Linked DNA regions of Rhinolophus ferrumequinum. The protein of the gene in region 1 interacts with the protein of each later gene in a biochemical or structural test. Links are inferred from orthologs where the notes say so. Each region holds a gene or a part of one and is shown in the gene's direction. Other genes may lie near its edges.

Region 1 (7,415 bases):
CACGTGACCGTGTCCCTCAGGGGCTGACACTGTGAGCAGCTCTGTGTACTCTTGTGTGTGGAGGTATCAACACACATCGCTTCAGTCGGTATACGTGAGGGACCCCCTTCCAAGGGACAGAAGACATACTCAGGACAGGAATGGAAGGCAGGGGATGGCTGGAATGGTAGCCAACAAAAAGGTCAGATGACCAGTCTGGGACCGTGGGGTTGTCCGTGGGCCTTCCTGTCACTCATCTCTTATCTCTCAAGGCCCAGCTCAGCCTGCAGCCCTGTGGGAAATGGTAGAAAAGGAGAGGGGGAGATTAGGGGGACCAAATAGCCTCTGGAGGGATATTTAGACCCCATAGGTGGGGGTGCTCCCCGCAGTGCCAACGCCCTTCCCAGCACACTTAGGTGAATTGCTCTCCCAAAACAGAATCTGTTCTCCCATTTAACAAACCCTCACATACCGTGTTTCCCCGAAAACAAGACCTAACCGGAAAATAAGCCCTAGCATGATTTTTCAGGATGACATCCCCTGAACATAAGCCCTAACGCGTCTTTTGGAGCAAAAATTAATATAAGACCCCGTCTTATTTTCGGGGAAACACGGTAGAAGCACGCACTGAGTCAGGTGCCCTTCTAAGCCAGACAGGTTAAATGGTCAACCGAGGCACAAAGCTGATGGCACGGGGCTGAGCCCGGCTCCGTGGCTCAGCCTCCTCTCTACCCCACAGTTGCTAACAGCAAGCAGCACCACTTACTGAGTGTTTACCGTGGGTCGGCAACGGTTGGGAGGCCTCCGCTGCTTTAGTTCATGAACACCTGAAAAAAATACTCCAAAAAAGTATGTATATTCGTACTCATTTTACTAACGAAAAAGTGAGGCTGAGTCCGGATGAGTAACCTGCCCTGACCACACTGAGTTTAACGAGTAGATTTCAGATGGTGCCACCCCAGCCCGCCCCCCACCCCCCGAGTCTTGCTCACACTTACTTGGGCTGCTTTTCTCTCTCTTTTTTAAACCACTCACTCCTCAATTCACTCAGCTCTGGATTTGCTTTTGGGCTGCTTCTCCCCGGCAGCCCCAGAGATGGGGATGGTGGGACCATATATCCTGAACATAGTCATGGGTAAGCAGCTGTCCTCGACACAACAGCACCCCTTAGCGAGTCGCCACACAAGCCCGCTGCAGAATCACAGTAGTCCACACTCATTACAGGGATTGTCTAGAACTGCCCTGGCCCTGTGAAAGCCTCCTGCCCGGCCGCCCCACAGATCCCTAGCTCTCTCACCCTGCAGGAGCCCCTCATCTGAAACAGAAAGAAACCCCTCTCAGAACCTGTGCTGGAAATGTGCCTGGCCCCACCTTGTTCAGGAACCCCAAGCCTCACCCCCTGTAAGAACTGCAGTCCTAGCCTGGTACAGGAACCTAGCTCTGGAACTCTAAGGAACCTTCTCTAATTATCAACAGGAAACCCATCCTGACCCTGGACAGGAGCACCAGTCCTCGTATTGTATAGGAGGAACCCCTGTCCTGCCATGGGAATCTCTGAACCCACACTGTAAGGAAGCCCCTGAACCACCTCTTTCACAAACGCCTATCCTGACCCTCTTTCTGAGCTGTGATCTCTCTCTAGGAATCCTACCTTGACCCTGGACAGGCCACCTCTGTCCTCACACTGTACTGGAGCCCTGCCCTCCAGGTAGCAGTTTACAAATACTTCGCTCACAATAAAATCTAGTTCTAACCCACGGACCTGACTCTCTCTGCAGAAATCTCCATCCCATCTGCAACCTCTTCAGGAACCGATTGAGTTCAGGAGCCCTTGCTTCCATTGTTGGCAATGACCCCCTGACGTCGCTCTGTACAACAATCCCTATCTTGCACCCCACCTTGTAGAGTCCACAGGAACCCATGATCCAGTCTTGAACCTACATGGAAAACCCTTTCCCGACCCTCTACTTTAAGCCCAGACCTCATTCTATACAGTTACCTACAGCTTCACGTAGCACAGAACCCCCTGCCCAGACACTGTACAGGGCTTCCCATCCTCACCCCGTAAGCTCCGTTGCCGTGACCTTCTACAGGAAGCCTTGCCTACAACTGTACTGGAAACTCGAACTGGATTCTACAGAAAACCTTTTCCTGACTTTCAATGGAAATCCTTAACTTGATTGGTTTACAGAAATCTCTGACCCGATCCTTCATAGGAACTCCCAACCTTACACTTTGGAAACACTCTCCTGAACCTGTTTGGGAAACCCTGACGTGACTCTCTCTGACAGCCCTTGCCCTGGCTTTGTTCTGGAAGCCCTACCTTCATCTTATGCAGGAACCACTGTCATGACTGTGGCTAGTGGCTACTGCATTAAGCAGCGTAGCTCTGTAGAGTCTACAGAATCCTGTAGCAGGCACCACCACAGGTTTATCAACCCTGTTCTCTTCCTAAGCTCACTCACTTTCCCAGCCTCCCTTATAGTTAGACGTGGACATGTGACAGTTCTGATCGATGAAGTGTGGGCAGAGTGACATACACTACTTCAAGGCCTGGCCCATAAAAACCTCTCATGGAATCCTCCTCCTTTCCCTGTCTACCAGCTGAATAGTAAAAACTCCGAGGGCTCAGAGGAGGGCAGAGCCACAAAACAGAAGTTGCCTGGGTCCATTAATGACCAATAGTAAATATTTACGTTGGATTTTGTATGAGCAAGAAATAAACATTTGCTAAGCTCCTGAGATTCTGGGTTTGTTATAGCAGCTAGCCTAATTTAGTTCAATTAATAAGAATCTCGGCTGAATCTGGACACAAACACCTGATCCTACTGTCCACGAGTATATGAATGCAGCTCTGAACCTGTACAGAAACACCTGTGCTGACTCTGAAGCTGGATCACCTGATCTCTTTGTAGGAATAATGCAGTCTAAGGAGCCCCATCCTGAACTTGTATGGGAACCCCTAGTCTTGAGCTCTCTAGAAACAACTGTCTTGTCCTATATATAAACCCCTGCTTGGTTCAGTGGAGGCACACTAAGGAAACTATAGAAATCCCTGTCCAGAAACATTTGCTTGACCCAGTAGAAGAACACCAGAAGTGACCGGACCTTGTCCATGAATCCCTCTCCTTACACCTCACATGAAAGGAATACCTCTCCTCAGGAAGCATGGAACCTCTGCACTTATCCTGTAAAAGGATCCCAGTCAGATAAAGGAAGCCAAAGACTGACAGTCTACTGCAGGGACCCATAAATTATGGCATTCAGGACAAAGCCAGATTGCAGCCCGTTTTTACATTTTTTTAAGAGAAAGAACGGAAAGAAAGGAGAAAAGAAAGAAGAATTTACCAGAGGCCGTACATGGCCTGCAAAGCCTAAAATATTACTATCTGGTCCTGCGTCGAAAAAGTTTGATGACTTCTGCTCCACAGAAACCTCTCTTCTGACTATACAGAAAAATGGGCCTTGACACTTACAAGACTCCCTACTCTATTACTTTGTAGGCATCACAACCCCAGAATATTCCTCAGTGTGTATCATTGTATGTGTTTTCTTTGGTGTATGAGGAGGTTTAAAGGTCTTAGGGCCGTGACCCTCTTCCACCAGGACAAAAGACATATTCAGGCAGAAAGAGTGGAAGGGAAGGGAAGGCTGGAACTGGTGTTTTCAAGAGGGTCAGAGGGCCCAGCTAGTGGGTGGTGGGGCTGTCAATCTGTTTGTTAGTCAGCGATGCTGAACCCCAGACCGCTTATCTCTCGGGCCCCAGCCTACAGCCCCGGTAGGAAATGGTGAAGAATGAGAAAGGGAGATTAGGGAGACAAACCGGCCTCCTGCGGGGCTATTTAGACCTGGGGTGGGAGGGAGTTGGCGGGGGGCCGCAAGGGGGCAACTACCCTTCCTCCCAGGCACACACTTTCCATTACAACTTGGGAGCGAAGGTTACTCGGTGGAGGAGACTGACAGGGAAAGCTGCCGCCCAAGAAAAACTCCCCTCCCTGAGTCCCTTCTGTCCCTAGGCACTATTTTATCACAATTTTCCAGATGAGGAAACTGAAGCACAGAGATGTTTAGTAACTTGCCCGAGGTCACATGGCTAAGTCGCATAACCTCAGTTTCCTTATCTGCAAAACAGCCTTAATAATGGGAACTACCTCACAGAATTGTGGCTTACAGCAATGCCTGACACACAATACTTGTTATCATTATCATTTAATACTTGCCCCTACTAAGACTCCTTTCGCCCACCATCCATTTTCACGGCAAGACATTAATAGCTAACACTTGGTAAGTGCGGCCTGTGTACCACCTTCGTGAACATTAACTTAGAAAACCCTCGCTACATTTAGCATCATCACCAATCCCATTTGGCCGCCAGCAGCCTTCCTCCAGTTTCAACCCAGCTCCAGCCCGCCCGCGCCACGTCATCACAGCGCGCCGCGCGGGAAGCTGCAGGGAGGAGGGAAGACGCCCTTTCCCAACTCCCTCGCTTGCTCGCTTGCTCTCTTTAGTCATCGCACGGCACAGTAGCCCCAGATCCGGAGGGCTCCTAAGGTGACTGGACAGGGATTGAGTGACGGCGACCAGGAAAGCCAGGGAGACCGCGGCAAGGGTTGGGGGAGGGGCGAGCTTGGGTTTGAGCGCCGCGTCGAACCGCCGCAGCGCGCTTCGCGCAGGCGCAGCAAGGCCCGCGTCGCGGGCGGACGCGCAAACCCGCGGTTTGTGCGCTCGCGGGAGGTGTGGCCCGCACGAGGGGCGCGGTCCTGCGGCCCGATCCTGGTGTGGGCGGGACCTGGGCGGGCAGTAGAGAGACTTGGCCCAAAGGAAAAGCTGGCCTCCGGCTCCCACAGTCCCACAGGTCGTCGGGAATTGGGCGGTCCTAGCCGTGGGCGGAGTTTGAGAAAAGGGCTGTGCCCAGTGAATGGAGCCGAAGGGATTGGTTGGCGTCAACGGGGGGGGTTGGCGGGAGGCGGCTCCAAACTCGCTGAAGGGGCTTGGGGAAGCGACGGGGGTAGGGTTTGGCGGGGGGTGGGGCCTGGTAGAAGGAAAGGGGCCGTCCCCAGAGGGACAGGGCCTGTTGTAACAGTAGGGGCGGGATCTGGCCAAGTGGTAGGTGCCGGTGCGGCCCGATAAGGGGTGGAGTTAAGTGGTTCGTTAAGGGTGGAGTTGGGGCCGGGGTCGGTCTTGGGTCTGGGTCTGGCTGAGTGAAAGGGTGGGTGATTATCCCGGGCGATTGGATGGAACGGGCGTCTATGAAGAGGCGAGGTCTGGGCGAAGCTGAGAAGAATGAAAGGATCTGGGAATGGGGCTTGGTAGAGCGGAAGGGTTGTGATTTGCTGGAAAGAGCAGGCCCTAGAGTGGACTGAGCCTGGGGGTTAATTGCTCTTTGAAAGGGTAAGACTTTGAAAGGGGAAAGAATACAGTTAAAGGGGTGGAGTCTAGTGGAATGGGCGGGACCAGGTGAATTAGACACCCGAGTGGAGGGAGAGAGCCTTGAGAGAGGCGGAGTTTAGAAGGCAGTGGGGAGTAGGATAGCGGGAGAGATGGAGACTAGTATAGGGGGCGGGGCCTGAGAAGGGGCTGGGATGTGGGGTCCTCAGGGCACCCCAGCCCTTTCTGCACCCCTCAGAACCGCGTCAGGGGTGAAATCTCCCCGACCATGACCTCCACCGGTCAGGATTCCACCACAACCAGGCAGCGAAGGAGTAGGCACAACCCCCACTCGCCCCCCCACGACTCCAGCGTCACCTCGGTGAGGCCCCAGACCCGTCCTGATGAGGGGGAGGGGGAGCAGCCGGCCATGCAGTGGACTCTGACCCTTCTTTCTGTTTGGCAGAAGCGAGGTGCTAAGAAGGGTGCCGTACTCCGCTCCAGCCCCAAACTAGCGGAGGTTAAGAAGAAAGGCAGAATGAAGAAGCTCAGCCAAGAAACAGGGCAAGACCTAATCGTGGGCCTGCAAGGGCTGGTGAGAGTGGCCTGGCCACAATTTAGCCTCCTGTGACAATCAAAATCCTGAGGTTGTCCATCCTGGACAATATGGGATGTTCTCTCTGACTCAGGCCCTAAATCGATCCGTGTCTCACATTTTTTTCCTTGCAGGATCTGAACCTTGAGGCCAAGACACTGTCTGGTACTGGCTTGGTGTTCGATGAGCAGCTAAATGAATTCCACTGCCTCTGGGATGACAGGTGAGGCTGACTCCTCTAGGCTGTCCCCGAACCACACAAATATGCAGACTTAGAGCTACTAGCAGGAACAAATCCTTTCTTACACTAGCCTAGAGACCAGAAGCAGACGATTTAGGGAGGTGGGGCTCAGGCTTGAAAGGGTTCTTTTCATTTAGCCAGCAAATATTTATTGAGCGCCTACTGTGTGCCCCGAGTTGGTGATACAAATGTGTCAAACAAGACAGACAGGGTCCCTCCTCAAGGAGCTGATAGGTGAGTAGAGCAGATCATTAAACACCCAGACGCAGTGTGAAATGTTTAATGAAGGAGGACTTAAGACCACGGGCTTCAAGAATGTTTGATAGGGACCCTAGAGTAGCATCCAGGGTTCCCAGAAGGCATCCTTGAAGAAGCGACGTTTGTGCTGAAACAGGAGAATTCCCCCTCCCATTCGCTCACAACGTGTTGTAATTCATCAGCAAATTCTTTTGGCTCTCTGCTCGAAATGTATTCAGTATCTGACCTTTCTCCTCACTGTCTGCACTGCTACCACCATCATCACTCATCGAGACTTGCAGAGGCCTCCTCACTGGTCCCCTGCTTCCACCTTCTCCCCTGCTGTGTTTTCCACACAGCAACCTACAAAAATACGTACGAGGTGATGTTCTCTTTCTTAAAATCTGTCAAGGACAGACCATTGCCTTCCAGGTGAAGTCCAAATTCTTCATCCCGGCCTCTTAGGTTCCACGTGATCTGGCTCCACATCACCTTGGTGACCTCATGAGCTCATCCTCCCCCCTCATTCGCTTTGCTTCACTTCACCCACACTGGTCCCCTTGCTATTCTTCCAACATGCCAGGCACTCCCTCGACTCGGGTCTTTCCCCTGTCCAGTCTCTCTTCCAGAGATCCGTTTCTACCTTCTCTCCTCCCAGTTAATATGCGTATCTCAAGGAGACTTTCTCAGAGAGAGCTTTGCCTGGTCTTTCCCCTCCCCCCACACCTGATCTTCACGCTCTTCCTAACCCATGCCACTGTTTGCTCATTACTATGTTCATGTGTTTACCGGTTGAGTATCGATGTCTCCTAACCCCGTGGAAGAGTCAGGATGTCAAAAGGCTTCATTATTGAATGTAGATCTACTGTCTCCTGAGGAGCTAGGGACGTGGCCCTGGTCAAAGCAAACAAAACCCCTGCCTTTGTGGAGACTACGTTTTCGAGGCGGGGAGACAGTCCACAAACAAAAAGTAAATGGTACAGTGTGTTAGAGAAG
Region 2 (7,599 bases), on another chromosome or scaffold:
TTCTATCCATTCCCACTGTAATTACTATGGTCTGACACCTTCTGCTTAGATTATTGCAATAACCTCCTTATTGGTCCCCTTATCACATGTCTCTTTCCCTATTCCACTTACCTGTCAGATTAATTTTATGAATATGCTGTTCCCTTCCCTTTTTCCTTTTTTTTCCTAAAATTATAAAGGCTTCACACTGTCTATTGACTCAAGCCCAAACCCCTTCAGACTGGAGTTCAAAATGCTTTAACTAGCTCCACTCTCCCCATAAAACACATTACTCATAATTCCTTTGTATGCCCAAGTCAATTTCTTTGCTAATATTATTTTCCCTATTTAAAGTACAATGGTATCAGATGATTATTTTTAATTCACTTTTCTTTCTCCTTTTTATTTTCATTTTCCTTTGTGGGAATATCTTTATGAACTCATGGGTTTATGTTGTTAAAAGTTTTATTATAAAAATTGCATAAATACAAAAATGCATAAAACACAACTTTACAGCATAACAAATAATTATTAAGTGAACATTCAGCTTTTATATCCCTTTGCCTCCCTTCTCCCTATCAAAATCAACTTGGGAAATTATCTGAATTTTAATGTAATTTAAAAAAATATGTCCTCTCGGAGATTTTTAAATAAATATAAGATTTACTTCTATTATGGAATTGAAGGAACCATATTAAGGATTTGGGATCTTCATCTTAAAACTAACAGGCAGCCATTAATCTGATTTATGCAGTAGAGTGACATAATCTATTACATTATATTATATATACAAGATCACTCTGGCTGTTGTGTGGAGACTGGACTGGGCAGGGGTAGAAGTGAATGTAGAGGAAATATAAGGGGACACTGAGTTTGTCCAGACAAGAGATGATGTACTTACTAGAGTAGAGGCAGTAGAAATGGAGAGAAAAGAATAAGATTTGAGACACATTTAGGAGGTAGACTTGACAGGACATAGTGACTGAGTCTATGGTGGTCAGAAAGGAAGGGGAGATGTCAAGAATAATTCTCATTTCGGATGTAAGAAACCAGGTGTATGCTGCTCCATTTACTGAGCAAAAGAACCTTGTAGGAGGTGCATGTTTGCACCTACTGAAGACAACTCGTTCAATTTGGGATACCTGTGAGAAATCCAGCCAGAGATTGAAAGTTTATGATATAATCTGGATCTAAGAAGAGATGTCAACAAGTCATTAGCATACAGAAAGGATCTGCAGCCTTCGGAATGAGTGCACTTACTATCCACTAGGAGTGGATGAAATCGCATAGAATCAAATGAGGAAAAGGTCTAGGACTGATCCTTGAGGAACTTCAACATGTGAGGATTAGGAGAGGAGAAAGAAACAGCAGAGACTGAGAAAAAAACAAAAAATGTAGAAAAGAAACCTAGAAAATGTAGAGTTTTTGAGGCCAAGGGAAGAAAGTGTCTCAAGAAATAGGTAATAGGGGGGTGGGAGGGAGGTAGACAAAGGTAAAGGGGATCAAATATATGGGGGTGAAAGGGGATTTGACTTTGGGTGGAAAACACAATGCAATATACAGATGATGTATTATACAAATGTACATTTGAAACATAATTATATTAACCAATGTACTCCAATAAATTCAGTAAAATTAAAAAAAAAATTTCCAAAGTGAAAAAAAGAGAGATAATAGTCAATTGTGACAAAGCTTTCACAGGTCAAAAAGAACTAAAAAGTATCCAGTGGATTTAGCAACAAACATGGAAGCCATTTGGTTTTAAAAATGGTAGGAGCAGAATCCAGACTGGAATGGATTTAGGGATAAATAGGAGGTGAAGAAGTAGGAAAAAAGTGTTAGACACCTCTCTTGTTTCCCACATAAGTTATGATCCTCCCTCATACACACACAAACACATGCATTCTCAAACCTATATACATGTACTTGTTTTATTTCTTTAATTAGATTGGAAGAGTGTGGTGGAAAGGAGACCATGTTACTACCTCTGAATTCTCATAGCATATAGAATGGTCCAGGGCTTACTGTGGACACTTAGTACATGCTTATTGTATTAAAAAAATGTAAAATACTTTATTAAATACTTTTAAATTACTAATCATGATAATAATGAAAATAATGAAATTAAACAGAGAAGCTGTTTAATTCAACAAACATGTATATAACCTCTACTGTATGCTAGGCACTTTGCCAGGGGCGAGGAGTCACATTTTCATGGAGAAGAGGCGTAGACACACAAATAAATAATTTAAATTTCACAATATTATGAAGGAAAAAATGTTTTATGCTAATCTTACTGTGTACGAGAATGAATCCATTAGTAGAATATTTATTCATGTACACTAATATAAGTTAAAGAAATTGGCAGTAAAAATGAGAAATGAACTAGTAAAAACATTTTTTTTTTGGCCTCCCATAATTTGCATACTATTAAATCAGATGAAGAACAAAAAGATTAGTTATTTTCCCTGCTCTCCCATTTATATATTTAAGATTATCAGTGCTCAAATAGTCTATTTCTGACCTAGATCTTATTGTTACTTATGCCCAAGGGGAGAAAAAAAATCCTCATTTACATAAGGAACAGAATGGCTCTGAGATAGAATTACAAAGAAGAATCAACTACATGAACCCTTCTCTCTTTGATTTAATTCTCAGTGTAAATGGCATAAGGAACTGAGGCTATTGGAGAAATGACATATTTCTTTTATACTGTAAAGAAAATAAAATTCAAGACTACCCTTCATTTCCAAAATGAGATTTGTACACTTTATCAAGGTCCAGCAGTGTCTGATTTATTTTATTATTAAAATTTTGAAAGAAGTATTTTCAATGAGCTACTTATTTAATCCTTACACTCCCCCATGGCATTTCATTCTTATTTTTGTTAAATGGACTTCTGGATTCAGAAAGAAGTATTCAAGTTATCCTTAATTTTCCTGTCTTTTTACTGAAATATACTTTTGTTTGCTAAAGAAAGATAAGATGATGTTGAAGATTATTTTTCCTATGAAATATGCAAGAAGTGAATCATTTGTGTATTGTTTTTTTTCCCCCGAGGGAAGACTCTACTGCAGGAAATTTGAACAAGTAAAGCAGAGCTGTGGATAGCCGGCTAGAAAAATCCACGGCCACCATTGTCACACCACAACCTGCAGCAGCTGTCTCAAGTCCATCCCTCCCACGCCCGGCTCTGCCTGTCAACCCAGCAGGAATGAATGCGCTCTGCGGAGCACTTCAAAAGGTGCTGCAGACCCTGAAAATCTGTCACTGAAAACCGAAGGGAAAATACAAATTTTCAACTTTGTGGCCATAACAAACCTTTTAATCTTTTAAAATTCATTAGCAACGTCAGGTGGTACCCAGTTCAGAGTCTTACTCTGCATAGCCCTTCCTTGTTGAAAATGGAGCCTTTCAAAGTAGCAAAAGAATGTTACTGCAATCCATTTCCTAGGGGGTGAAAGCAAAGCCTTTTTGTCCCAAGAGGCAATTGAGCAACCACCAGTCTCTAGTTGAATAGCCAGCGTGTGAGGCTGGCTGCAATTCCCACAGTTAGAAGCCTAATCTCGGAGGAGGAGATTTACCAAATTCAGATAAGAACTACATAAAAAAGAAATGCAGTTATTGAGCTGACATCACAGACTGGTCTGTGCGTGGAGGCAACATTCCAAAATAGTCTTCTTTTTACATTGTGCAGCTCTCCTCCTTTTTAATTTGGTGTCTCAGTTATTTTTTTCATTCCAGGAAAGAGAACAATGCAGAATATAACCGCATGCACAGGTAGTATTAGCTTCTGAACTCAATTCTTTCTCTTTATATTTTCTCAGTTCTATATCAGGAAAAAAATGATTCATTTTAAGGGAAAATACACTACACAAATTACTATTACATAGACTTCTGGTAAAGGAATATTTCTAGTAAAATTATTTACAGTATGTTAATTAGAGCGTAATTATTGCCACGTTAGAACTACTTGAGTGCTTCCATATTTAGTATGGTTATTCTTTCCATCTTCTGTTTTTGTTTGGCTATTTGGGAAGGGGTACAAAAGAAGATCTGAAAATAAAACTTGAACCTGAGAAACCATTTTGGATGACTCTACTATTAAACTTTTTAAAAACTAAAACAAACACATTTACCCAAGCCATTTGAAGCATCATTCCCGTCTTCTCTCCTACTTTATGTTTAAAGCAATTATCGATGTTGACTCCTCACGGAATGTGGTAGAGTTTAGCATACACTTTGAGGGAGAGACTGGAGCAATTTTCCATTAAATATTTCATCTGAACATAAATTCTGCGACTAAGAGTTGGGAAAAACCTTACATTGGTGATTTTAGTTGTAGTTTGATGATAAAATCATCCCAGCCTCTGTTCTCTTTCTTCCCTTTTGCACCCCCTCCTCAGCCCCACCCCATAATGGATGCTCCGCTGACTGTTTTCGCTCAGTCTCTTTGTCTGAAGGATGCAAACAGTCTATGGATGCTAGGGAAAAAGGGGTGGGGGAGAGATTACCTCATCCCATGTCGCTTGCACCAATCACCACTCTTCTGTCGTGGCTTCTCTGGGCAGATTGAGGGGTCTGGACCAACAGGAAAAGGCCCCAGCCCATCCCCATGGTGACCGAGTTGTATATAGGGAGCCGCATCCACCCATGTGCCGCAGGTTCTCTTACATCGACCGCCTAAGAGTCGCGCTGTAAGAAGCAACAACCTTTTCCTCCCAGCCATCCACCCGGCAGCCGCAAAGCAGCAACCATGGTAAGAAAGAATATGTTCTCTCTGGTTCTTTGTGGCCATTGGGTGGGGTCAGCCCCCCACGGTTTGCTTGGAAAATCTTAAGCTCTTTTCCTTTACAACTTCTTTAGGTCAGGGTAGGTCGCCTTACGCTTTGTTGGAGAGGTTAAGCTTTGTGTGCCCCAAATCCTTGAGCCTGGCCGCTGCCGCAGTGCAGGGTGCAAGCAAGAGCCCGGCAAAAATTGCGCCGAGGGCGCGGCAGAACCCTGGGGAAGAACAAAGGCGGCGTGGAGGCGGTTGTTATCCCGCGCCTTCAGAGGCGCAAGCAGCCCGTCTGTCGGTGACGAGAGGGTCGGGAGCAGGGAAAGGGGATCGCGGCGTCTCCTGCACACAGTGTGCGTGTGAATCGGAGGCTCTTTTCTTCCTCGCGCTGTTCCCCTGGGGCAGGGAGAGGAGGCGTCGCCCCAGAAGACCCGGGGTCTGTGGGTTTAGCTGGGAGGAGTGGGGAGAGGACGACGGCTGAGACAAAGCGGAGCCTTGGGTTAGTTTAAAAAAAAAGTTCCCTTGCCGGTTCGTTGGCATTTTAGAAAGATACCCGCGTATTAACGGGAAAAAAGTGGTTGGTTTCTGTTGGAGCCAGCGGCAGCCGGCGTCAGGGCGGCGCAGGGGCGGAGTTGTTTGTCTCTGGCTTCTCCGGCCTTGGAGCCATTGGGCGGGGTTCGCTCTCGCTAACTCTCTTCTGTCAGGAGGAGACTATTCAAGTCTTTCATCGTTGTAGAACTGTAGGCCTTACAAGGCTTTTCATTCACTGCTAAAACTTAGATGGAATGTTTTTTCTTGAGAAGCAAAATCACAATTCACTTGACAAGTCCTTTAAGGTCAGGACCGGGGCTACGCAGACCTGGCGGACTTGATTGGGTGTTTGTCTGTCTTGGCCACATGTTCAGTGAGAAAGACACTTTGTGAACCAGGGGACCCTAACGCGCAGGACCCAGGGAAACGCCCCGCCCCCCCACATATCAGTGAATAGACAATGGATAGACAATGCAAGTTGTAGCCATAAAGACCATAGAGTAGAAAATATCTATTGAATGTGATGAGTATGAACATTCTGTGGTGGGTAGAGAATCGAACGAATGAAAATACGTACTATTTTGTTTTAAATAAATATTTCATTATCCTTTCACTGGACTTTCTTGTTTATTTGGTAGCGTCTCATGTGATAGTTTGTTTTCAATTTAGGAACTGATGTTTTAAAGATACTCATAATTTTTCACTTTTCTACAGTGGAGAAAATTCTGGAGAAATTTTTAAAAAGTAATGAAATTAATGCAGACAAAGAAGAATTATACTCTGTGTCCAGCTGTCTTTTGTTCGAGCGAATTTCAGTAATTCATTTCAATTTAGGCGTATGGTTCCAGCCTGGCTCAGAGGAGGGAAACTGGCAGAATGGCACAATGAGATCATGTGGGTAGTTTCTGGAAATAGAGCTTGCTCTGTTAAATAATGTAGCAGACAGCACAGGCTAGCACCAGGCACAGCAAATACAGCAATGCAGCAGTGCAAGGAGTCAGCCCTTGCTTAGCTTCCAACCCCCTAGTACAGATGGGTTCTGCAGATAGACTGCAAAAGGGTGTGGCTTCTAGCCTCAGCTGCAATACAGATGTCCATATGGAAATACCCAGTCATATTTAGAAGAAATTCTCATCTGTATTTAAAGGGGAAGGAGGTAGTAATATTGATTCCAATTAATAATTGAATTAAACTTCATTCTACAGAATCTGTGTTTTGAATATTTTTAAATATGAAAAATCTTCTATTCAAGCATGGCCATGGGAACAATAGACTTGCACTCTGCGCTGTACCGTGCCACATTTTTCAGGCCACGCCCACCTGCAGCTTTTGTAGCAGGTGCTTTTCCTTATTGTGTTAGGGATATGACCTCAAATAAATTTGAAGAATACCTGTATATAACTAGAAACATTGATAGAAATCTACTGAAAATTCAAAATGATAACAACCTAATTTTACAATTTTTCTCTTTTCTTTCCCACAGCGTGAGTGCATCTCCATCCACGTTGGCCAGGCTGGTGTCCAGATCGGCAATGCCTGCTGGGAGCTCTACTGCCTGGAACATGGCATCCAGCCCGATGGCCAGATGCCAAGTGACAAGACCATTGGAGGAGGAGATGACTCCTTCAACACCTTCTTCAGTGAGACAGGCGCTGGCAAGCACGTGCCCAGGGCAGTGTTTGTAGACCTGGAACCCACGGTCATTGGTGAGTTGACCTCCGTAACCCAAGTGAGATCCCAGGGGTCTGGGACAGGATGTGTGTCCTGGGGGCTCTGTGGATGCCCTGGGGTTGGGCAGCTTGTGCGGGTTGTTAGTGATGGGTGGCCGCTTTGTTTCCCTTTTCCAGATGAAGTTCGCACTGGCACCTACCGCCAGCTCTTCCACCCCGAGCAGCTCATCACAGGCAAGGAAGATGCTGCCAATAACTACGCGCGGGGGCACTACACCATTGGCAAGGAGATCATTGACCTCGTCTTGGACCGGATTCGGAAGCTGGTGAGTACCAGTTTGAAATATACTTAAAATGGGGTGAGGTGATTCATTGCAAGTTTAGTGAAGAGACCAAACTATAGCATTCCTTCTTTGGTGCATGCCCAAATGTGAGATACACTGCTCACTGTATTAATTGAAAAGTATCCGATGTTGAAGAATTACATTTTCTTTTTACTTCCTTCACAGGCCGACCAGTGCACAGGTCTTCAGGGCTTCCTGGTTTTCCACAGCTTTGGTGGGGGAACTGGTTCTGGGTTCACCTCCCTGCTGATGGAACGTCTCTCTGTCGATTATGGCAAGAAATCCAAGCTGGAGTTCT
Region 3 (6,431 bases), on another chromosome or scaffold:
ATTTGAAAGTAGCGTATCTCTTTCCCTCTGTAGTTTTGCATGTGTTGAAGACTTATAAAGCGTGTCGTACTTTATGTAGTCTTCTTGGTCTTGTTTTTTTTCATTCAATAGGTTGCTAGTATATTGATCCATATTGTTGCGTGTAGGTATAATCCATCCATTTTTACTGCTAACGATACTCTACAATTCAGTTATGTGTTTCCCCATTACTAAAGGGTATTTGAGTTGCTTTAGTTTGGCATGTCCATTTTGAATCTGGATAGGTATTTTAGATTGTCCTTTGAGAGTGGACAAGGTTTTATTGTTTTTATGTTTGTTTTCCTTTCCAACCTTCAATAAATGAGAATTCACAGTAACTTTTTGATTGGGTTTGGCTGGCATTGCTGAAGCAATATTCTAGATCTCATAGTAATTTTACAAACTCTTTCATTGACATTATTAGAGAGATGCGAAAGGGGCCTCTGCTCCAGGGAGGACTCAACTGGGGGCAGTGACTAGTCCAATAGCACCCTATCACTAGGGCCGAGTTGGGAGGTTTGTAGCTATCTGAGACATTTGTTTAATAACCTGGCAATATCTCCATAGCGTGATATTTGATCTTGGCTGGTTTCCTGGATTTGATAAAAAGGCAAATGAAAAGAGATCTTTCAGTTCTGCCTCTGAAACAATTTCCTATCACGACCCAGAGGGGAAAACAGATTGATAATGTGGTAAGAAGCAAGGAAGAGGTCAGGTTCCAAGAAGAAATCCTACCTGTGGTCAGTTAAGGGGCACCAGATGTCTTGGACATTCCTCACCCTGGCTTTGGGCTGGGAGGGAATTTCACATAGGAAAGGAGGAGAGAGAGGAGAGGGAAGATCAGAGTCCAGATTTTTTATTTTGTTACTTGAAAGGACACTGTTTCTCAGAATCCAGGTCCTCTCTGGGTAGGGAATCCCCTGAATTATTTTTTCCTGGAGGGATCACAGGCTTGCCCTTGGAGTAACTCTATGCTGGAAATCCCCAGCTCCAGTGGGCGGTTCCTCTATTTGCACGTGGAGTTGCATGGCATTCGCACTTTGAACACTCACAGTCCTGGGGGAGCAGTTCTCATCTATGTTTGCAGCAGGCTGTGACCTCCCTCCAGGCTCTGGCCCTGCAATCACAGGCTCTTTGCTCACCTCTGCCAAATAGGGATATACAGGCTGGTCCAGTGTGGGTGTGCCACCCAGGGATACACCTGCGTACATATAGGCCCTGAAACTCCCTTTGCTCTCATTCATCCTAAGGCCCCTCGTACCCTCTGCTTTCCTTTGGCTCTCTGTATTCCTTCCCCCAACTAGTTCGCTTAGCAACTACTACTAAAACGACTGTGGGTGAGTTAGCTTCTTTCTAATCAATAAGGATACTGACATTTACCTCATTAGAATGCTAGAACAGTTAATGAGTTTCCATTTAATAATGTCTTGTGCAATTCCTGAAATATAATAAATACTCACTAAACAGTTTCCATTTTTATTCACTTACTTATTCATGCATTCATTTAGTAAATATTTATTATTTACAGTGCCAGACAGCTTGTCCAAGTAGTGCTGAAGATACAAGTTAATGGAGACACAATCCTGACCCTCAAGATTCCTACTCTTTAATGGGGGTAAAGGACAAGTAAGCAGATAATCCTATTGCTGGAGAAAAGTGCTCCGAGAGGCTTCCAGAGAGAGTATGAAAAGACAGAAGAGCTGCTACTTACATTGCATACTCTTATAAATTTCATGGAGTTGGGGGCAGAGTTGGAGGGAAAGGTGTGCTCAGTGACCTGGTGGCAGAGAGCTTGGCATATTCAAGGGTATGCAGGGAGTTCAGGGAATCATGCATGGAAGCCCCTAGATGTACAGCTCTGCAGCTCAGATCTGGGCTGTAAGTATAGATCTGAGGGCATCAACAGACATATACTATTACTGGGAAATGTCATTCCTGGGCTCTCCTTCCTGGAGCTTCTGGCTAAGGGTCTCTGCTTCCCCTGAGAATGAACTGGCCCCAAGATGGTGTAGGCTACTGAGGCAAGAATGGAAAACAAGGAAAAGGTACAAGAAGAGAGTGATTTAATTCTAAACAGCTTTAACCATCTACTCTCTTTCTTCTTTCCCAGAAATGACGTGAAGATCTGAGAGCGTAAGGGGCGCAGATAAAATTTGAAATGTGAAAGCAGTTTACTTAAGTCAGGGCACATACAGCTTTTACTTTCTCTTTTCCCAGGCCCATCCCCCATCCCTTTCCTGCTGCAGGGCTTCCGGTTTATCACCCTCAACCTGATATGACATTTTCTGCCTAGTTACTGGTGATGTTTCAGAATACCCAAATCCTATTGGACAGTGGGTGCAGACCCGTCCTTTTCTGCTGTGCTGCAGCCAAAGGTCCCAATCTTGGTTTCTAAACACGGGACAGTAGGAACCTGGAGAGGTATCTGAAAGGAGAATAGAAGGAACAAAGGTTTCCTGCCTATTCCAACAGCACACTTCCCCCTTCATACTCATCCTGTGTGTTTAAAGAAGCATGCCTAACCCCACAAAATGCGTTCAAATAATAATCAGCTTTTCCAATTTGATTAACTGATTATCTAATAAGAGTTTCACATAGAAGAACATAGTTCAGGATAGGCTTTTTGAAATATTGGAATATGCTCTTGGATCCCATTACTTTACGTAGACACTTCTGTGAATCCAAGTTCTGCCAGATGGGAACCCCTGGAATAATACGGGATCATCTGTGATCCATCCGTGAGTGAAGGCCTCAGTGAAAACGCAGCAAACAAAGGTGATAACTTGGCATTTTTACGGGCTTTTTACTTTGAAAAATCTGGAGAACTTTTAATAAGTGCTTTTTTAAATGGGTTTTTTGGCAATGTCCTGAGAGTTGGGGATAGGGAAGTGATTAGTCTGGAATAGTAGGAGGATCAAGAGTGACTGAGTGAATTCCCTGAAGAAGCACAGCTCATGCACTGCTTTGTCCCCGTCCAGATCTCAGGAGCTGGGGAGTGAGCAGCACCTGTAGGTATGTCTGAGATCACGGTAGTGAGGAGTATCCGGGAGTGAAGCTGGGCAAACAGAGGCACTGTGGTGTGAGGGTGAGTGTGTGATTGTTTTAGCGTGTGGACAGTGGGAGTCAGCCTTTGATTGTTGGCTTTGGAATGTTCTCAAGTCATGGTGGATTCAGTTTGCAGTTCCCAGGACAGGATAGGAACAGTGATAGAGAGCTCAAGACCCGGGAATCGAAAGGTCTTTGTAAAGGAGGTTTTATAAACAAAGGTTTGTGAGGCTGGAAGACACTTAGGAATTCTTTCCACTCATCTCATTTGATAAACCAGAAAACCAATATCTAAAATGGTGGACAGACTTGCCCAAGGTAATATAGTAAGTGGCTCCCGTCAGTGGGACTGATCCAGGGTTATTTATCCTATGTTTTCTCAAGTCATGCTTCACACATCCTGCCAGGATAGTGTGAACAGGCTGCTCACTCCACATCAACCCTGACTGTCCTCTCCTGGGCGGCCCTGCTCTCAGGAAAAAACCTGACTGATGAGGGCTCTTAAAAGCAGTAGGAGAAGACCACCAAGCATCAAAGGTCTTTAAGCCATTGAGGCCCAAGGCTGCAGGCTGGTCAGTCATAGCCAGGACAGGAAGTGGTGGGTTGTTGACCGGGGAAAAATTCTCAACAGAGAAGGACCATCCCATATTTGGAAGAAGGAGGGCAAATGGATTGGCTGACAGGAGAAGCGCTTGATCAGAAAGTTTGTTTTGTTTTTTTGACTCACTCCAGCGAAAGTGAAAGAAAATCCATGAGTCCATGCAAGAACAAAGAGCACAGGAAGCTAGACACAGGCAGGGGATTTCCAGCTCAGCCTCCTTGTATATAAGCGGGCGCAGTTCTCCTCATCCTCTGTTTTCTTGGTCTCTGGTTCCTGCTGCTCCCTTCAGTGCAGAGATGCCTTCGACCCTCTGTGTAAGTTGGGATTTGACAATGGGGGTAGGGAAAGAGAAAGTACCTCGAAGGGATGGGGGTCTCAGGAATGGATGAGGGAGTGCCCAGGGAGACATGGTGGCTTCTTGAGGGGATGAGATAGGCATTGATATCTACAGAATGTGAGGGAACATTCTGTGAAGAGAAGCTGGTCATTTGGCTCCTGAGTTCTCTTTTGGGTCAGATCTTGGACCGGCTGTTGTGAGGGATCAATGGTAGGAAGTGGGAGTACGCTTTGTGCTCAACAGGCCTGGCAAGACTCGAAACTGGAAATATTGTCTTAAGCCTTTTTCCTCATCCTGTTTAGGGGCTCATGACTTAAACTTGAACTTCCTTCTCCTCCCAAAAGGGGCGTTCACACAACTCATTTATCCTGAGTTGTTAATGACCTGACACATTACCTTATATAAGAATATAAACACTATGTAGAGAACCTGGAATGAAGGCAATGCTTAGCGCAGGAGTGACAGTCCAGTGAAGAAATGTCTGTGACATGTAAATTGGGAAGATATGTTTGAATGGAGCATGAGGGAGGTCCTGCCAGGCTTTCAAGTGACAACATAGGGGTTAGCTTCTCCATTTTTCAGATTACTGAAGTAAAATTTAGATATAGTCCTTACCTTCTGTGAGTGAGGCCCTGTTTTAATTAAAGGACTAAATCGTATTCTACAATAGATAGATATAAAAACAGGGGAAATACAGAAGAACAAGTAACATTGAACACAGTGTCACTGTACTATGTATTAGGTTGGTGCAAAAGTAATTGTGGTTTTTGCAATTTTTTTTTTTAATTTAAACGGCAATTACTTTTGCACCAACCTAATAAGTTATTATTATAAAGCAGTGAGACATTAAAACAGAAACAAACAGTACAGAGAACATGTTTGTTTCTGACGTGGACATGGAGGGCAGTCCCGCGAGTTTCCCCTTAGGTGCCAAATCTTGGAAATTATCTTTGGGATTTATTTTTAGAATCTGGCGTACACCTTTGAGTACTCTGTAGTTGTATTTAATTTTTGACATTTGACAAAGTTTATCCAGGTAGGAGGCAGGCAAATATGGTGGGAAATTATTAATGATGTTTTGGGGATGAATGAGAGGTATGGTTATAAGGAATAAGACTGCCTTTCTTGTCTGTGTTATAACCTGGAAATTCAAAAAGAGAAGCTCCAAGAGAGGGAGGGACACAGCTTGTTAAAAATCAGCCAGAGGACCAGACAGGCAGTGAAGTGCAGGAGAAACTAAGGAGGGGGAACAAGGGGTACACAACGGGGCAGGCATTCCTGGTAACTGTCTCTTGGCCCTCATTGTCCAGGTGAATGTCCATTCTCAGGAATGGGGACCAATGACCTTCACTGCCAACTTGCATGACAGAGTGAAGAAGATCCAGGAACATGTGCGGTCTGAGACCAAGGTTCCTGTGCAGGACCAGGTCCTCCAGCTGGGCTCGAAGACCCTAAAGCCCCAGAGAAAGCTATCATCTTATGGCATTGACAAGGAGACCACCATCCACCTCACCCTGAAGGTGGTGAGGCCCAGTGATGAGGAGCTGCCCCTGTTTCTGGTGGAGTCAGGTGATGAGGGGCAGAGGCACCTCCTCCAGGTGCGAAGGTCCAGTTCAGTGCCCGAGGTGAAAAAGATGATTGAGACCAAAACTGCTATAACCCCTGAGAAACAGATTGTGACTTGCAATGGAAAGAGACTGGAAGATGGGAAGATCATGGCAGATTATAACATCAGAACGGGCCATTTACTCTTCTTGACACCCTACTGCATTGGAGGGTGACCACCCTGCGGATGGGGTGATCTCTGGAGCAAAGGAGCTTATTTCCTTTTCGCTCTTACTCACCAACCACAACCTTTGATGATTTCTCAAAATTATTGAGAAAGAGGTATATAGAAAGAGTAGATTTAGAGTGGGGAGTCAGACTGCAGAATACTTTTTAACTCTATGATTCTTTGATTCTAACATAATTGATTAAGTGGCAGGATTGTGTATATTACTGAAAACAGAAAATAAAAATTTAAGGCACATTAGAGATAGCATTCAAAGCCAGCTTGCAATTCAGTCCTTCCTTGGTTTCCTCTGACATATAGAAAAACTCCTATTTCCTTTCTCATCCGACAACATAGGAAGTTTTAGGCTGGGATCCACGTTGTACTAATTTCTGTGTTTCCATCTATGTTTAAACCAGTGCTTCATCTATCGTATCACATGGTAATTGTTGAACCAAATTGAATTTCTCCTTATAGAGAACAATGAAACGGTTTACTACGAAGTGAATTAATTACATGATTACAATCTAGTCAATAAAGAATTTAGAAATTCAATTAAACTACTTTCCCTCGCCTTATTTAAAGCTGGTTGGTATGAAATGAAACCTGGCACCGTGCCCCCTCTTACTTGTCCCATACCCAGTGAAAATTGTTCTCAT
Region 4 (7,153 bases), on another chromosome or scaffold:
AAGCAACTTCACAGGGTGATCTGATCATAAATTCCTACCTGGGCAGGTCATGGTGGGTAGTCCTGCCCCAGGCCTCTAACTTCTTTAGTGAGAGGTTTTAAGCCAGCTCTGTCCGTTGTTCTTGCACATCTAGGTTAACATACCTTTAAAATGCCAGAAGTAATACCCCTGGAAGGGGGTCTTAACCCTCAAGAGAGCACATAATCTGGTTAATATCCTGTAACCCAATCTCCGCCTTGCTTTCTCCCACCTCCATGTTAGTTCCCTCCTTAATTTCAAGCGCATAAAGAAGCGCAAAATTGTTATTCTCCGTAGAATTTGAGCTCTTGCTTCCTGGCATATGTCATCAGTTTGGCTCAAATAAACTCTTATAAAAATTCTCAACAGGTTTGGACGTTTCTTACGTCGACACAACCTGTACAACCATTCCTGATGGTAACCTCTGACTGGGTCTTCTGACTCACCCACCCCTATATTATCCTGCTCCCCAATTTGCTCAACATCAGCCCCTTCCCAGCTAGACTTTGTCTCTATCCACTTCTTGAGATCTGCCATTAACCCTGATTCTAAACACTGCCTAATTAATCATGCATTGCTCCAGTTATCTTAGCTTTCCTAAACATTGAATTCAACAACATTGAATTGCATAGAGCAAAAATCCTTTAATTCAATGCATTAAATCATCTTGGTAACTATCTCAGAATCGAGCTTTTTCTACACTTAAGCAACTTCTATTGCTCAATGTGAAAACGAACTGGTCCACTTGAAAACAGACCTACTTCTACCGTCAAGACTTGGTTTTAGTTCAACCACTCTGGTTTGGAATCATCAATTTAGTGGCCTGACTTTGACCCCAGCCTCCAGCCTCTGGGTCCCTCCACCTCTCCAGTCTCCAGCTTACTCCCTCAAAGGCAGGAGTCAGTCACAGAGGAAGGTTCTTACAAAGTCTGTGTTCAGTCTCCCATTCCCTGTCCTTTCCTACATGTTCTCCCTGAAACAGCAGATCTCAAATAATCACTGAATGCCCACGACTAACTGACCACTCCCTCCCCAGTAGTTTTCCTTTCTGTGATCCTTCCAGGTTAGTGCTACCGTGGGGACTTCTCAGGTGTGTGGCAAGGGCCAATTGTGGCTCACATCCCCATCAGTCTTTGCTAGGGGCAGTGTTACACTGATTGACAATTTCCTGCTTGGGGTGCGTCCCCACCTCACCCCTACAATTGAGTCAAGCTGTAGGCAACTGAGCTCTCAAACTCAGTCCAGCTATCAATCAACAAACTTCCAGTTAGTTCTCTCCATACCCACAAAGAACAACAGGATTAACTGAGGCAAGAAAGCAAAGCCACAATCTGGGAGAAAAAAAAAAAAGAGAGATTGTCTCTATCTGGTGTACCCACAGCTGCCATCAGTCACTCCTTACAGGAGACGGGCAGGCTGCTGCTAAGGCCCACTGGTTCACAGTTCATCTTCCCTCTTCCTTTACTCAGGGATTCCACTAAGAGCAACCCCACCCTTCAACTCCCATATTTTCCCTCCCTCATTGCATCAAAGCTTCAGAGAAATAGAAAGAAACTTGTCTTCATAAAACGTGTGAGAACCTCTGGCTGTGAGGAAAGATGTGTGTGTGTTGTTCTACTGTGCTCCATTTGATTTATGATTATAAAGCAATAAACAGCCATGGCTTGAGAGTCATAAGGAGTTTTGTGGAGATTTGATTTATTTTTCCCCCATATGCCCTGCTTTTCATTCCTTTTCTTGCCTCTTCCTTTTTCACTTCCTTGAACTGGAGGAGGCCGCCATGAGTGGTGAAATTTCTGACCAGATAGAATATCAAACATGTGCAGTCTCTTTAAGTAACCACTACATTGGCCCAAGAGATTGTAAATGGGCCAGCAAAGTGCATGCTCCACTAATGGCCAGTCAATAGCTTACACTTGCTAAAATATAAAAGCTATTCCTATCACCAAGCATTCAGTTAGGCAATCTTAAAAGATGGTAACCCCGCATGGCCTGTGTGAAATGCTCTAAGATAGTATGTATCGTAGAAAAGCTTTTTTTTTTTTTTTTTTTTAACTTCTTGGAAGGTTAAACATGTTCTCTTTCTTTCCTCCTTTCTTTCAGTATGAATGTCAATGGCATTTTAATTTTTCACCCTTCCCTCTCCCTTTGGCAACCATCAACCACTATTTTCTGTATCTATGGGTATGTTTTTGTTTTGTTTATTCTTTTTTAAAGATTCCACATGTAAGTGAAATCATACAATATTTGTCTCTGTGACTTATTTCACTTAGCACAATACCCTCTAGGTCCATCCATGTTGTCACGAATGACAATGTTTCATTCTTTTTTATTGCTGAGTAATATTCCTGTGTCTGTATATATCACATCTTCATCCATTCAGCCTCTGATGGACACTTAGGTTGCTTCCATATCTTGCCTATTGTAAACAATGCTGCCATGACCATAGAGGTGCATACATCTTTTCAAATTAGTGTTTTTGTTTTCTTCAGATAAATACCAGAAGAAAATTCCTGGGTCGTATGGCAGCTCTATTTTTAAATTTTTGAGGAACCCCCATACCGTTTTCCACAGTGGCTGCACCAACTTACAATCCCATCAGCTGTGCATGAGCTTTCCTTTTCTTCACATCCTCCTGGATACTTGATGTTGATTTATTGATGAGCCATTCTGACAGGGGTGAGGTGGTATGTTCTCTTTCTTGATGTATCTTCAGTTCATGAAGTTGTTTTGTGAATCTGACAATGAACTAAAACAATAATGAAATGCTGGGAGACGGTTGTTTCCCTTACGTATTTTAGCATCCTCCAGGCAGAACTAATAAATATTCAGCAAGTGATTACTTGGTACATCCCCAGTGCGTCCTTTGCATATCCGTGCCAGCTATCTTTCACAAGCAGTTTTACTTGGTAATTTACAGATGTACTGGCTGCACTCTGCACATGCCAGTATTACAGTAATTAGCTTAGGATGCAAACGATTTCTAAATTAAAGTTCTGGACTGGTAAAATTAAGAAAGCTGGGCAATCAACGTTGTAACTGGTAGACAATAAGTAAGAGGATAAATAACTAGGACAAGTCTTTTATCCCTACGTGCAAATCTGATAGCTATACACAGCACAGGTAAAATATAGGTCAACAATTAGAGGCAGGTGAAAGGGCCACTGTTCAGTGATTTAAAACCCCTCCCTTTCTCCTGCCATCCACATATAAACAGTATAATGGGCTGGGGGTCTGGCATTTTAGGGTACATGCAATCGGAGTGGTTTTAGCCACTCAAATTGATACAAGCGGATAAAACCCGGGCATTCTGCCCGAGCCACACAGGTGGGTCCTGGGAGGTGGATGGAGAAGGGGCAGCATCGGAGCGGGTCCACCCCGTGGGTGCGGCGTGGAGCCCCATCCTGGGACCCCAGGCTCCTCCCGGCCGCGCACAGGCGACAGAGACCTCCGACCCCCCTAGAGGAGAACAAAAGGAGCGAGGAGGAAAAAGACGAGCTGGAGACAGTGAACGGGAGTGGGAAGAGGAAGAGGGGAGAGGAGCGGGTAGAGCGAGAGGAGCGGAAGAAGAGGAGGGAGGAGAGACGGGCGGAGGAAGGGGAGGAAAAGGGAGGAAAAGAAAAAGGCGGCGGAGGAGAACGGGCCCGCCCCTGCCGGCGTCCGCCTCGGCTCCCAAATCCAGGCCGGCTCTCCCAAGGCCGCTGCCGCCTCCTCGCGTTTCTGGGCTGCAGCGAAAACGCCGAGGCTCCGGCGGCCCCAGCTCGCGCGCCCCCGCACCGCCGCTCAGCCCCGCGCGCGCCCCGCCCGCGCGCTCCCGCGCGCCGGGCATGCGCAGTGGGCGGCGCCGCTCCGGGCCGCCTCTGAGGCGGAGAGTAGGAAGCGCGAGCGCCGGGCTGTCAGTGAGCGTGGGGCCAGCGAGCGAGTGACCGGCTCCGGCTGCCGCTCCGCGCCGCTCCGGCCCGACTCTCCCCGGCGGTCGCCGCTGCCGCGCCTCCTCGCAGTGACCTCCGCTGCCGACCCGCGTCCCCCGCCGGGGGTCGCCCGAGACCCCACCGCCCCTCCCCCGCCCGCTCCCCCACCCGGCCCTCCCCGGCTGCTGCTCCCCGGCGAAGGCAAGAGGTGGTTGGGGGGGACCATGGCTGACGTTTTCCCGGCTAACGATTCCCCGGCGTCTCAGGACGTGGCCAACCGCTTCGCGCGCAAAGGGGCGCTGAGACAGAAGAACGTGCACGAGGTGAAGGACCACAAATTCATCGCCCGCTTCTTCAAGCAGCCCACCTTCTGCAGCCACTGCACCGACTTCATCTGGTAGGTGCGCGCGGCGCGGCGCGGCGCGGGGCGGGGCGGGGCGGGGCGCGCGGGCCGCCACTCGGGACCCCTGTCCCGGCGCCCGCCGCGGGGGCCAGCCCTTCCCGAGCCCGGGTCCTCTCCGGGGGGACCCGCGCTCCCCCCACCCCGAGTCCAGGCGGGTCCACTCCAGGGCTCACTCACTCGGGGAACTTGGAGAGCCGGCGGGAGTCCGAACTCTCTCGCCCGGCACGACTGGCGCGCGCCCGGGGCCGCTGTCACACGCGGGCAGGACTCTCGGGGAAGTCACCGCCGGGTCACACACCCCCTGCCGCAGGAGGGAGGCTGGCCGCGCGCGGTGGTGACACTGAGCCCCTCGCCGGTCCAGCGCCCGGGTCTCCCCAGGCGCGCCCGCCCTCGGGGCAGACACCGGAGGCAGCCGGTGGCTGGGGTGTGAGCACCGGGGAAAGTGAAAAGGAGAATCCAGAGGGCAGAGTCTCCCGGAGAACAAGCCTGGGAGTAATTGCTGGAGCCGCGGCGGTTTCGCCGCGCGGTCCAAGTTGTTGGCGAGTCAAGCTGAGCGCATTCGGGGGTGGGGGTGGGGTGTATTTTGTGATTCCCATTGGGCGTGGACTCCCCTGGAACCTTGGGTCCCCGCGTACTGTAGCTTGTATCTTGCTGGGCACGGAAAGACTTTGACTTTTCTGGGTGAGCCCAAAGAGGAGACGCAACAAACTGTTGAAAGCTTGCAGTGGGGGAGGGGGAATTAAAACAGAGCTAGCGGATGGCAGAAGGACAGAGGGAGTAATTTAAAATAGACCCTGTCAACACGAGATTAGACCTGTAACCCTGTCGATGAGGACAGAGTCCTTATTTAAGAAAAATACTGTAAAGGCTGGAGGTGTCAGTGTTCAGGTAATTTCTAATTAACTCAGCTATTAATTTGGGGGCGGGGGGCTTCGGGGGCTGGGAGAATTGATAAATGGGTGGGCTTCAGGGGGCTCTGGACCCTGTAAAACTGGGTGACATTTTTTTTTCTGAGATAATTACAGCTCATGAACTGATTCTCAAAAGATCCGTGCCTCTCCCCGCAAAAAAAAAAAACAAAAAAAAACAAAAAAAAAAAACCCAAAATGTTTAGAAAGCTGGAACTAAGGGAACTCAAGGTGCTCCAGTCTGAGGAGGAGCTATAATTGTTTTAATTTCAGGTGGCCACGCTGCCTCTTCTACCTCTTGTTCATGGATGCGTTCCAAAGCTCCCCAAGTCAGAGCTGTGGTTAGATTTCCTTAGCTCTCACCTCTCTTAGGGATGGATGGAGCGCTGCACCAGGGTGACAGTGCTACAGGAGGTACCCTGCCACCAGCTGGCTGTGTGGCATATGTATCTTGTTGGGACCCTAGGGAGAAGTATGGGTGGCTCTGTGTGAAACATCTCAAAGGGCGAATTCCACAGAAGTGGTGGTAATCAGGTGCTTAGCTTTTTTTTATGGACGGTTTTATTTGAATCCATCACACTTGGGGAAAATCATCTCTAAGGGAGAGCCTCACAAACGTGGTGCTAAGAAGGTGCTTACTTTTTCCTTTTCTAGAAATTTTCTCAAAAGTACACTTTTATGAAAGAAAAGCACAGCCACCTCTATGAATGATTTCTACCATGTAGCCAGCCTATGAAGCAGTGCTGCACATAGGAGTGGATAATTGTCGATAAGGTTATTTAAAAAGTTCTCGGAGCATCAGGGCAAGGAGAGGATACTGCATTTAGTTAAGGGGAGGTCTTCAGCCTCCCATGCCAACTGTGAAACTCCATTAAAAGGAAAGAGGCTGCTGATGACTTTTGCAGCAAGTAGGTGAGTTAGAAAAGGGACGGCAGCTTACACGGCCAGGCTAGCTAATGTCTTTCCACTACTAGCTGCCCTGAAGGATCAGCCCCTGGTGAACTGATGTGGCATGTCAGGTCACCAGGTGTAAGGTGAGGTGGAAAAGAAAGGTCTCCCTGTCTTCTTCCTGAGGAATCCCTGCAACCTTTCTCCACTGAACTGTAAAGCACCCACTTGGAAGTTCCAGGCAAATATTCACCAGGCTTGTCTAGTAGTGGTTTTCATTTTTGTTTCATTATTGTTTCTCTGGGTTCTTGATTTATGAGTTGTATTTAAATATTAAAGCACTGATATTTTGAAACCAAAATGTTTGGGTTTTAAATATTTTTTTTACAGGGGATGACTAAGTTAATTATGAAGATATATGAAGTGCTTTGTAAATTGAAAATGCTATGTAATGCAAGAGATTATGGCTAATAACCTTCTGAAAAAAATTAGCGCAGTTCATCTGTAGTTGGAACGGTGTTTGCAATTGAATGCCCATGTCAAGTTTCTCTGCTTAGAGAGTAAATTCTCTAAAGTAATTTACAAGAACAAAATAGCCTCTGTATGTGCTTCAAATGCTATTGGCTCTCAGTAAAAATTAGATCATAATCTCAAATGCAAACAGGAATGATACTTTGTAAAATCTGGCTCCTTTAGGCCAAAATTTAATGTTAAGGGTGGTGCTGTTTGGCAATTTCTAGACAAATAATATTTTAAACAAATTCGTAACAAATGACAAAGCCACTTTTTAGCTATCTTTAGGGAGAAAAAAAACGATTTTCAATTGGTCTTTAGAGACCAAATTAAGCCACTGCCATAAGGTCCTTCATGTTATTTGAACATTGTAGCCAACTACTTTGAATATACAATTATGTTCTTGAAACTTAAGTATTGATAACAATGTAAAAAGTAAGACAGAACCTTGATACTTTGAAGTAGTCCAGTGAGCCTTTAGAGGCCGGGTAGATTTCATTCAAAGTTGAATT

What was found.
Region 2: of the proteins of HDAC6 (region 1) and TUBA1A, one has a biochemical effect on the other in vitro, tested with the Homo sapiens proteins (4 studies listed by BioGRID). The link is inferred for Rhinolophus ferrumequinum from reciprocal best matches to the Homo sapiens genes HDAC6 and TUBA1A.
Region 3: the proteins of HDAC6 (region 1) and UBD form a complex in vitro, tested with the Homo sapiens proteins (2 studies listed by BioGRID, with this or other methods). The link is inferred for Rhinolophus ferrumequinum from reciprocal best matches to the Homo sapiens genes HDAC6 and UBD.
Region 4: the proteins of HDAC6 (region 1) and PRKCA form a complex in vitro, tested with the Homo sapiens proteins (2 studies listed by BioGRID, with this or other methods). The link is inferred for Rhinolophus ferrumequinum from reciprocal best matches to the Homo sapiens genes HDAC6 and PRKCA.

Annotation. Positions count from the first base shown.
Region 1 is NC_046284.1:85,813,072-85,820,486, reverse strand, and holds the start of HDAC6 (histone deacetylase 6), read left to right. Parts: upstream 1-4,408; 5' UTR 4,409-4,530; intron 4,531-5,040; exon of another isoform or gene 5,041-5,085; intron 5,086-5,111; exon of another isoform or gene 5,112-5,370; intron 5,371-5,605; 5' UTR 5,606-5,635; coding exon 5,636-5,728; intron 5,729-5,812; coding exon 5,813-5,941; intron 5,942-6,075; coding exon 6,076-6,164; intron 6,165-7,415.
Region 2 is NC_046293.1:50,213,394-50,220,992, reverse strand, and holds the start of TUBA1A (tubulin alpha-1A chain), read left to right. Parts: upstream 1-4,595; 5' UTR 4,596-4,735; coding exon 4,736-4,738; intron 4,739-6,770; coding exon 6,771-6,993; intron 6,994-7,134; coding exon 7,135-7,283; intron 7,284-7,466; coding exon 7,467-7,599. UniProt on the Homo sapiens protein: Tubulin is the major constituent of microtubules, a cylinder consisting of laterally associated linear protofilaments composed of alpha- and beta-tubulin heterodimers.
Region 3 is NC_046286.1:539,167-545,597, reverse strand, and holds UBD (ubiquitin D), read left to right. Parts: upstream 1-3,823; 5' UTR 3,824-3,960; coding exon 3,961-3,978; intron 3,979-5,311; coding exon 5,312-5,782; 3' UTR 5,783-5,928; downstream 5,929-6,431. UniProt on the Homo sapiens protein: Ubiquitin-like protein modifier which can be covalently attached to target proteins and subsequently leads to their degradation by the 26S proteasome, in a NUB1-dependent manner.
Region 4 is NC_046304.1:44,302,517-44,309,669, reverse strand, and holds the start of PRKCA (protein kinase C alpha type), read left to right. Parts: upstream 1-4,136; 5' UTR 4,137-4,153; coding exon 4,154-4,326; intron 4,327-5,057; exon of another isoform or gene 5,058-5,220; intron 5,221-7,153. UniProt on the Homo sapiens protein: Calcium-activated, phospholipid- and diacylglycerol (DAG)-dependent serine/threonine-protein kinase that is involved in positive and negative regulation of cell proliferation, apoptosis, differentiation, migration and adhesion, tumorigenesis, cardiac hypertrophy, angiogenesis, platelet function and inflammation, by directly phosphorylating targets such as RAF1, BCL2, CSPG4, TNNT2/CTNT, or activating signaling cascade involving MAPK1/3 (ERK1/2) and RAP1GAP.